2 linked regions of the Oryctolagus cuniculus genome follow. The protein of the gene in region 1 purifies or fractionates together with the protein of each later gene. This does not show direct contact. Links are inferred from orthologs where the notes say so. Each region holds a gene or a part of one and is shown in the gene's direction. Other genes may lie near its edges.

The links. Proteins that work in one complex are often made in the same cells at the same time.
Region 2: the proteins of DYRK1A (region 1) and RBL1 purify together in Homo sapiens (affinity purification with mass spectrometry; 3 studies listed by BioGRID and IntAct, with this or other methods). This does not show direct contact. The link is inferred for Oryctolagus cuniculus from reciprocal best matches to the Homo sapiens genes DYRK1A and RBL1.

What each region holds. Positions count from the first base shown.
Region 1 is NC_091435.1:7,581,362-7,586,758, reverse strand, and holds the start of DYRK1A (dual specificity tyrosine-phosphorylation-regulated kinase 1A), read left to right. Parts: upstream 1-1,997; 5' UTR 1,998-2,806; intron 2,807-3,336; exon of another isoform or gene 3,337-3,411; intron 3,412-3,487; exon of another isoform or gene 3,488-3,553; intron 3,554-4,128; exon of another isoform or gene 4,129-4,252; intron 4,253-5,397. UniProt on the Homo sapiens protein: Dual-specificity kinase which possesses both serine/threonine and tyrosine kinase activities. Exhibits a substrate preference for proline at position P+1 and arginine at position P-3.
Region 2 is NC_091442.1:21,478,146-21,481,995, forward strand, and holds the end of RBL1 (retinoblastoma-like protein 1), read left to right. Parts: exon of another isoform or gene 1-166; intron 167-855; coding exon 856-1,020; intron 1,021-2,462; coding exon 2,463-2,633; 3' UTR 2,634-2,959; downstream 2,960-3,850. UniProt on the Homo sapiens protein: Key regulator of entry into cell division. Directly involved in heterochromatin formation by maintaining overall chromatin structure and, in particular, that of constitutive heterochromatin by stabilizing histone methylation.

The sequences.
Region 1 (5,397 bases):
TGTATATATGTTTAATATATATATGTGATGTTTATACAACTTTTTTTGTAATAACAAGAAAAAATGGAAACTTCCTTAAAATATAGAGGAGGCTTAGTGAATGACGGCTCATTCAACCGATGGAATACTAACTGCTATTAATGTTATTATTTAAATTTCAATTGTTTAATACAAAAATGAGTTCATAGCACAATTGTAATTAGACAAGGCATGAACACACCTGCTGGTGTGAAATGTGTGTCAGTGCACACATGTCTTCTTAAGAAAGTCCGGAAGGGTGGATGCTGTTATGAACATACAAAGGGGGTGTGTTCCTGAGTGATGCCTACTGGTGATCCTAGCCTACTTACTGTTTTCTGTATGGTAAAATTGTTGGTAATTACCAGAATCTAATTTTTAGTTTTTGTTTGGAACTTGGATATAGTTGCTTATTAACTTCTTGGTTCATAGCATACCCCTATTGTGAGTTTATATAGGGCCTCTCTCATTTTAACTTTGCTTCTTTTTAATAAGTTTTTATATTCATGAATTACTTTTAATGTCAGAACAACGTTTTAAAAAGATTTATTGATTTACTTGAAAGTCGGAGTTACACAGAGAGAGAGAGAGACAGAGAGAGAGAGACACAGAGAGAGGTCTTCCACCTGCTGTTTCACTCCCCAGATGGCCACGATGGCCGGGGCTGGGCCAAGCTGAAGCCAGGAGCTTCTTCCAGGCCTCCCACTTGGGTCCAGGGGCCCAAAAACTTGGGCCATCTTTGCTGCTTTCCTAGGTGCATTAGCAGGGAGCTGGATTGGAAGTGCAGCAGCCAGGACTTGAACTTGCACTCCTATGGGATGCTGGTGCTGCAGGCAGAGGCTTAACTGATTGTGCCACATGGCAGGCCCCAAAGTCAGAACAGTGAATAACGCTTGTACAAGCAGGGCGATGAAGGGCTTCACTTGTCTGTAAGAACATCAGGGGTGTCAGAAATTGTGAGCGCAGAGATAAGAACACTGGCACCAGTCATCTGGGACCAGGGCACATCATAGAGACCTCCTTTAGTCAGGGTTATCTCTGTGACAACTCTGCTTCCAAACAGTCTGCCGAAACACAGCCTTTACAGCCACACCTGGGTTTGAATTCTGACTTCCCCTGCTCACGGGTGGGCCGGCTTTGGGAGAGTCACTTCAGGGCTTGCTTTCTCAGCCGTATAACCGAGATACAATGTTATAGTGAGGATGAGACCTCTAACAGGCGTGGGAAGAAGTGCAAGCCGATAGTAACTGCCAGTTGGGGGATTCTGCTTCTCCGGATTTTCTTAGGCCATCAAACACCTCTAAGCGAAACCCACGGGGAGGGTCTCTCAGCTCTGCACCACACTGGCATCCATACCAGCGTCCTTCCTGGCTACGTGTGTTCTCTTGTTTGGTGCCAGCCATAACTTGCTGGTAGTGTTTAGGGGAAGCCCACACAAAACCCGTTGGGCACGCAGTGCGATGCTGTCTAAGGCAGTCACGCTGGGAGAGAAATGAGCAGCGTTCTACACGGGAACACTGGGGACGCCTCTGACCCCTGTGTGCCTACGACCTGAAGACTTCCCTCATCCCATGAGCCCCTCGACCCATCTGAGGCGAGGATCTACTCCCGGCGATCTTGTCCTATTCTGTCTCGGTTACTTAGATGTGCATTATGCAAGCTTCCTCCATTGCTAGCAATGAAAACTTGACTCGGGAATAACTTAGTGGTCAAGGTGGCACTTGCTCAAGTGTCCGGCAGCAGTGAAACCTTGGCGGATGGGCTGGAGTGGGGAGAAGGCAGGAGAGCAGGTGGAGGGAGGAAGGGGTTGTCTTCCAGGTGGAAGTTTGAGCTTGGGAAGCACTGGGTGACAACCTCTTTCATGAATAGGGACACTGTTGGCCACTTCCTCTTCCTTAGATGCGAAGCTGTATGCAGACCTCAATTACATTAGGAGGGCAAGTTTGAAAACACCAGCAATCCAGAACTTTTATTTTTTTTAACCAGTCATGAGAATCAGTCTGAAGCTAACCACTTGCCTAATTTTTTTTTTTTTTTTGCCAAATTTATTTAAGGTCTGGTCTGATTACTTCAGGGCCTTTGCTCATTTGAATGATCGCCTTAATATATCAGTGCTGTACCTGCAGACTGTGGGAGGGGAATTCTGCTGGAAATTTACACAGGCTGGAGGCTTTCATTGGGATTTCTCCTCTTACACCTGTGTCGTCTGTCAGATTGTGTCTGTGGCTAGTCTGTGAAGAGACTGAGCCCAAGACCCCGACACGGACACTACCTGCACACGGCAAAGTCAGGCTTAGAAATCAACCACCAGATTAGCGACTTTCGCTGCGTGCAAGCCCGGACGAACGCTGATTAAACACCATTACCTGGGGGGGCGGGGGTGGCACAGCAGACAATTCCCAGCACGCCCAGCATGGGGAGGGGTCCACGGGCTAATGCACCAGGAGCCGGATGTTAGGGAAGGGCTCCGGCCGCGGGCAGCGCAGGACGGGCTCGGCACCCACGCGGGGTCTGCAGTGGGAGGGGGCGCGCCGGCCCGGAGGCTCGGACGTGGGTCCCACGTGGCAGGGCCCGGCCGCGCGTCAGCCGCAGGGGCACCCCGGATGCGGCCGCGGCGCCCGGGATTCCTGGGATGTCTGAGGCGCGCGGGCGGCCTCCTCCCCGCCCCCGCCGCGGCCTCCGTGGGCATTTTCCGGCGAGGGGGGCCGCGAGCCCTTCCGAGAACGGCTCCTCCGCGCGGCCGTGCGCGGCCGGCGCGCTCCCCGGGAATGCAGGCGGCCGCACCGCGGTGAGAGCCCTCGGGCCCGGGCGCGCGGGGGTGGGCTTCCCGGCTTCCCGCCCGGCGGCGGCCCCGGCGCCCCGGCCCCTCTCCGCGCCCCCCCACCCCGCCCCGCGGCCGCGCGCGCCCCTCCCCCCGGCGCGGGCGGGGCTGCGGGCGCCCGACGCGGAAGCGCGGGAGGCCGCGCGCGCTCCCGGGGCCGCAGTCGGCGCGGGCGCGGCGGGCGCGGGGCGGGGCGAGGCGGCCGGGGAGGCGGCGGGCGCTCGCGCACGGGCCCGGCCGCCGCCTCGCCCCCTTCCCCTTCCCTCCCTCGGCCCGGCCGTCCCCCTCCGCACCCCTCCCCCGAGCGAATCACGCGCCCTCCTCTGACACTCGTAGCGGGCCCGAGCTCCGAATTTATCCTTCACGTGACCTGAGGGGGGTTGGGTGGTTGGCTGGGGACCGAGGGGGAGCAGGAAAGGAGGGAACGAAGTCTGCCGTTTCCCGGGCAACAAGCCCCGCCCGCCGGCTTGGGGCCGGGGGGGCGGGCGGAGGACGTCAGCACGTCAGCCGGGGTTTTGCGTTTTGATTGACAGTTGCCATAGCGACCGGGTCGGTCCGTCGCCATTTTGTTGGTTGGTTTTTTTTTAAACCCTTTCGCTTCCCGCCCGAATAATAATAAAAAGCCCCATTGGAGTGAGGCGGGGGTGGCGGCGGCAACCGCGGCGGGGGGATCCGGGGAGACTGCTGCCGTCGCTGCTGCTGATCGCGGCCCAGGTCGGGCTCGGGGAGCGGACACCCCGAGCGGGGGGTGCGGGCGCCGCCGCCGCTGCCGCCGCCGCTTCTGCTGCTGCTGTTCCTGCTGCTGCTGGTGGTGCCGCTGCCGCCGCCGGCCAGCGAGCGAGCGAGCGGGCGGGCGGGCGGGACCGGTGTGAGTGTGCGAGTGTGTGTGTGCGAGCGAGCGGGCGTGCGTGCGTGTGCGAGTGTCTGTCTGTCTGTGCGGGCGCTCGGGGGCGGGCGGTTCGGGCGCTCCTGGCGGAGAAGCCGCCGCCGCCGCCGCCGCCGCCGCCGCTCGGGCCCGGCGCTCCTCGCTGCGCAGGTTTGGAGCGCGCGCCATTTTGTGCGATTTACAAAATCCTCCTCGGGAAGAAGCCGCCGGCAGCGGCCGCCACTCGGCGCCCGGCCTCGCCGCCGCCGCCGCCGCCCTCCGCGCGGCCCCGCCGCCGGGACTCGGGGCCCGGGGACTGCGGTATTTGCCGGGGAGGGGGCTGTCGCCGCCCCGGCCCCCGGCGCCGCCGGACCCGCGAGCGCGAGAGACTGAGGAGGCTGCGGCGCGGCCAGGAGCCGGCCGCGCCGGGGGCGGCGAGAGGCGGCCGGGGCGGCGCTGGCTGCGGAGGCCGCGGCGGGAGCGCGGCGCGGGAGCCCGAGGCTGAGACTCACCGGAGGGAGCGGCGCGAGCGCCCCGCCATCGTCCCGGTGAGTGTCCGGCCCGGCCCGGCGCTCGGCTCCGCCGGGCCCGGCGGAGGGAGGGACCTGCCATTTTAGGAGGAGGCGCCGCGGGGCCCGGGGCCGGCCGCCGGGGGAGGGAGCCCGCAGCCGGGTCCCGGCGGGGCGGCGGGTGCGCGCGGAGGGAAAGTTGCGGAGGGTGGGAGCGGGGGCCGCGGCCTCCCGGGAGCCGGGCCTTCTCTGGTCGCCGGGGCGGAGGGAGGAGGCTGTGTTCCTCCTCCTCCTCCTCCTCTTCCTCCTCATCCTCTTCCCCCAGCTCCTCCCTCGTCCCTCCTCTAGGTCCCCACCAGTGTGGGAGCCGCCGGGGTTCTTCGCAAGGACAATGCACGGGTTAAGGGAAGCGGGGCCGCGCCGGGCGCCGGCGAAGGTCGGGGCCCGCTGGCTCGGCGGCCCTCGGGGGTCCGCGCCGGGTGGGGGTGGGGCGGGGGACGCGGCGTGCTCGGAAGTTGGGGCCGGAGTGCGGGGGAGCGGTGACCTGCTTAAGCCGCCGCGGAGACGCGAATTAAAATTGATACCTGTGTATTGCTACAAAACTTCGCGAGTCTATTTATAGGCACAGACCCGCCGAGGCTTCGCAGGCACCGGGGCCGCCGACTGTCTGAGCATTCGGCGAAGGCCTCCCCCCGCCCCCTCCAGCCTGAAACAGTTAAAAATGGCAAAATTAGTGAGTCAGTGGTTGCCTGTGCCTTTCGCCCGTCCCTGGATCCTAGGACTCCCATACTGCAGGTGCAGCGCTGGAATGCCAGCACCGTTTGCTTCTGGAATTCCGCCCCGACGGTCGGAAGAGACCCCCGTCTGCATTGTTTTCCGCATGTAGAGATTAGGGCAGATGGTGGCTGGCACTCCTCTCACGGCTTTGGGGATATTTTACCCCGTGTGCTGCCGGTAGGAGGTGTTAACCCATTTTACAGATGGGCACATTGAGCCCGGAGAGCGGGCAGTGACTCCTCCAAGGTCACACAGCTGGGGCTCCCGGAGCCAGGGGGCTGGCTAGGTTCTAACTAGCAAATTTCGGAACGACTTGCGTGCAGTGACTCAGGGTTCGATTCTAAGAGACTGTGTCTGTCCACTTACGGTTTCTGGCATGGGATTAACTTTGTAGTTTGCAGAAGTGG
Region 2 (3,850 bases), on another chromosome or scaffold:
TCTTGCTCTTGGGCTTGTTGAGGAGGCTCATGGTGCCTGCCGCGCGTTTAGGTCACTCCAACCTCCGCGTTGCTTCTGCCTCTCATAACTGCCTCCTAAGAAATTCCATAAGAATAAAAATATGGTGAGATTGGAAAAAAAGAAAAATGTATCTTAAAAATTTTACTTTGGGGCCGGCGCTGCGGCTCACTAGGCTAATCCTCCGCCTAGCGGCGCCGGCACACCGGGTTCTAGTCCCGGTCGGGGCGCCGGATTCTGTCCCGGTTGCCCCTCTTCCAGGCCAGCTCTCTGCCGTGGCCAGGGAGTGCAGTGGAGGATGGCCCAGGTGCTTGGGCCCTGCACCCCATGGGAGACCAGGAAAAGCACCTGGCTCCTGGCTCCTGCCATCGGATCAGCGCGGTGCGCCGGGCGCAGCGTGCCGGCCGCGGCGGCCATTGGAGGGTGAACCAACGGCAAAGGAAGACATTTCTCTCTGTCTCTCTCTCTCACTGTCCACTCTGCCTGTCAAAAAAAAAAAAATTTGGGAACAGGCATTTGGCGTAGTGATTAAAATCCTACTGAGGATGCTTGCATCCTATATCAGAGTGCCTGGGTTTGAGTCCTAGCTCTGCTCCTGATTCCAGCTTCCTGTTACTGTGCACCCTGGGAGATAGCAGGCGATGGCTCAAGTACTTGGGTCTTTGCAACCTGGAAGACCTGAGTTGAGTTCCCAGCTTCAGCCTAGCCTAGCCTTGGCCATTGAAGGCATTTGGAGATTGAGCCAGCAGATGAGCATGGCGTCTGTTTGTCTGTTTCTCTCCCTCCCTCCCACTTAAAAAAATAAAAACAGAAAGTCTGGCTTTTGGTTTATTCCAGATGGATGTGCCACCACTCTCTCCTTTTCCTCATATTAAGCAACAGCCAGGCTCACCACGCCGTGTTTCCCAGCAGCACTCTATTTATGTTTCCCCACACAAGAATGGGTCTGGCCTCACGCCAAGGAGCGCCCTGCTCTACAGATTCAACGGCAGCCCTTCTAAGGTAAGGTGCACACAGATTTCGTCATTTATATACATATAAATACATATACAATAATACAAATAATAAATAAAAATATACAGATACAAATAAATACATAAGTTATCCATCAGTAATGAATCTTGGTTTTTGTTTTGGCAAATTATTACTAATAAAGTATGGATTTTTAACAATGATGTATTACCAATGATCAAGACCAATATGTTAAAAAAAAAAAAAAAAAAGACAGTATCTCAGTTGAGGTAGTTGAATCCACTGCTGTTGACGAGCTACTGTATAGCATGTACAGTGTGATAGTCCAGTGATTCTCTCCAGTGTTCAAGCTTGAGGGACCAGTGAAAAAGACCTGCAAGTGGTTAGACATGCAGGATGGTACACGTGCAGGCTTAAAGAAAGTTATGGTCTGCTTGACTGATGGCAGCCAGGAAGTCTGGAAACAGAGGCCTTCTGTATTCCACGTGGACATCTCTGTGCTAATCTCCCTCTCCCCGGTACGATGAAGAAGCTGGGTCAGGGACACGTTTGCTATCTCCAGGTATTTAAAGGACTTTCAAGCAAATAAGTTTAGTATTTCGACAAAAGCTAGAATTCTTATCAACTGGAAGAAATTATAGTGAGGCAGATTATAATTTCAGTCTACATTCAGTAGTAGCATAGCTCCTCAGTCTCCTGTTCACAAACACCCATTGCTTTCTCGCTGTGCTTAGAAAACAGAGTTGACTGGGATGTGGTGTGTCTCAGAATGTTTTTCTTGATAGAAATTCATTTCCAGTAAGTATGTTTAGAAGAGAATGTTGCATAATATTGAAGATTGGAACAGTTGACTCCTGAGACAGTGATTTTGAAATTATAAATCAGAATCACTCGGGGAGTGAACTGGTGGGTGGACGACGGATCTCCCTCCCTCTCTCCCTCTCTCTCTCTCTCTCACCCTCCCTCTCTCTCTCCCTCCCTCCCTCTCTCTCTCTCTCTCACCCTCCCTCTCTCCCTCCCTCCCTCCCCCCTCCATCTCTCTCCCTCTCTCCCTCTCTCCCCCTCTATCCCTCTCTCCCTCTCTCTCTCTTTCTACTGCTCTGTCTTTAAAATAAATAAGTAAATAAGTCTTTAAAGATAGATTGCTCAATCCCACCCCCAGAATGCGTGATTCAACAGTTATAGGAGAGGCTTGAGATTTGCATTTCTGACAACTTTGTAGCTGCTGCTGCCGCCTGGAATCTGGGGACTATTATTTTCAGAACTACAATCATAAGGAAATTCAGTTTTTAAAATTTACCAGAAAGAATCAGTTCTACCCGCCTTTATTAGGTTCATCTAGATTAAAAACATAATCTCTCCCCCAGTGTGTAGATTTAGAGAACAGAGAAGAGGAAGAAAGCCACTTAGCTTGTTTGCAGCAGTTTCCCTTTCCCTCCCATTTTACTCACAGCTGTCCTCTGTTTTTGCAGAGTTTGAAAGATATCAACAACATGATAAGGCAAGGTGAACAGAGGACCAAGAAGCGAGCAATAGCCATTGACAGTGAGGCAGAATCACCTGCCAAACGCCTCTGTCAGGAAAATGACGATGTTTTGCTTAAACGACTACAGGATGTCGTCAGTGAGAGAGCGAATCACTGACTTCATCTGTTTCTGATAAAAGCACTTTCAGCTTCTGCAGAAATCTGGGGCTCCGTCCTCCACACTTTTTGGCCTTGTGGATGGTAAATATCACTGGGCTACAGGAAACACTGAACCAAAATTAAGCGCTTTTTTAAAAAGCATTTGTCTAAAATGTAGTTGACAAAGATGTATTTTGAGTTGAATTGAAAACTAATGTTTTTGGGACCGGCGCTGTGGTGTAGCGGGTAAAGCCACTGCCTACAGTGCCGGCATCCTGTGTGGGCACGTTCAAGACCCAACTGCTCCACTTACAATCCAGCTATCTGCTATGGCCTGGGAAAGCAGTGGAAGATGGCCCAAGTCCTTGGGCTCCTGCACCTGCATGGGAGACCCTGAGGAAGCTCCTGGTTCCTAGCTTTGGATTGGTGCAGCTCCTGCCATTGCAGCCAATTCAGGAGTGAACAGAGGATGGAAGACCCCTCTCTCTTTCTGCCTCTGCCTCTCAAATAATAAATCAATAAATCTTAAAAAAGGAAAGGAATGTTTTAAGTGCCTTTTTAAAATAGTAGTCGTAGAATTTTTAAATGTTTCCTGGATTTTTTTTTTTTTTTTTTTTTTTTTTGGACAGGCAGAGTTAGACAGTGAGAGAGAGACAGAGAGAAAGGTCCTCTTTTTTCCGTTGATTCACCCCCCAAATGGCTGCCATGGCCGGTGTGCTGCGCCGATCCGAAGCCAGGAGCCAGGTGCCTCCTCCTGGTCTCCCATGCAGGTGCAGGGCCCAAGCACTTGGGCCATCCTCCACTGCACTCCCAGGCCACAGCAGAGAGCTGGCCTGGAAGAGGAGCAACCAGGACAGAATCTAGCGCCCCAACTGGGACTAGAACCTGGGGTGCCGGTGCCACAGGTGGGAGGTTTATCCAAGTGAGCCGCGGTGCTGGCCTGGATTAGTTTTTAGTATTAAGAAAAACTCCAGAGTTTTTCAGCTCTCTTTTCAAAACAATCAAATGTCTTCTATGCTTTGTAATATAAGGCTAAATAACCTATTTTTGGTAAGTATGCTTTGAGATTTGTATTTTCAAGTTAATCTTGAAGGTAAGAATTGGTTCCTGTAGTGTCTGGCCAGAGGATGAGGCACTGGCCTGTGTCCGGCCCTCTGTGGCAGCTCCAGTCCAGGTGCCACTCCTGCTCCTGGTTGTCCAGAACCCTGCCTGCGCCCTTCCTGCCCTCAGCAGGAG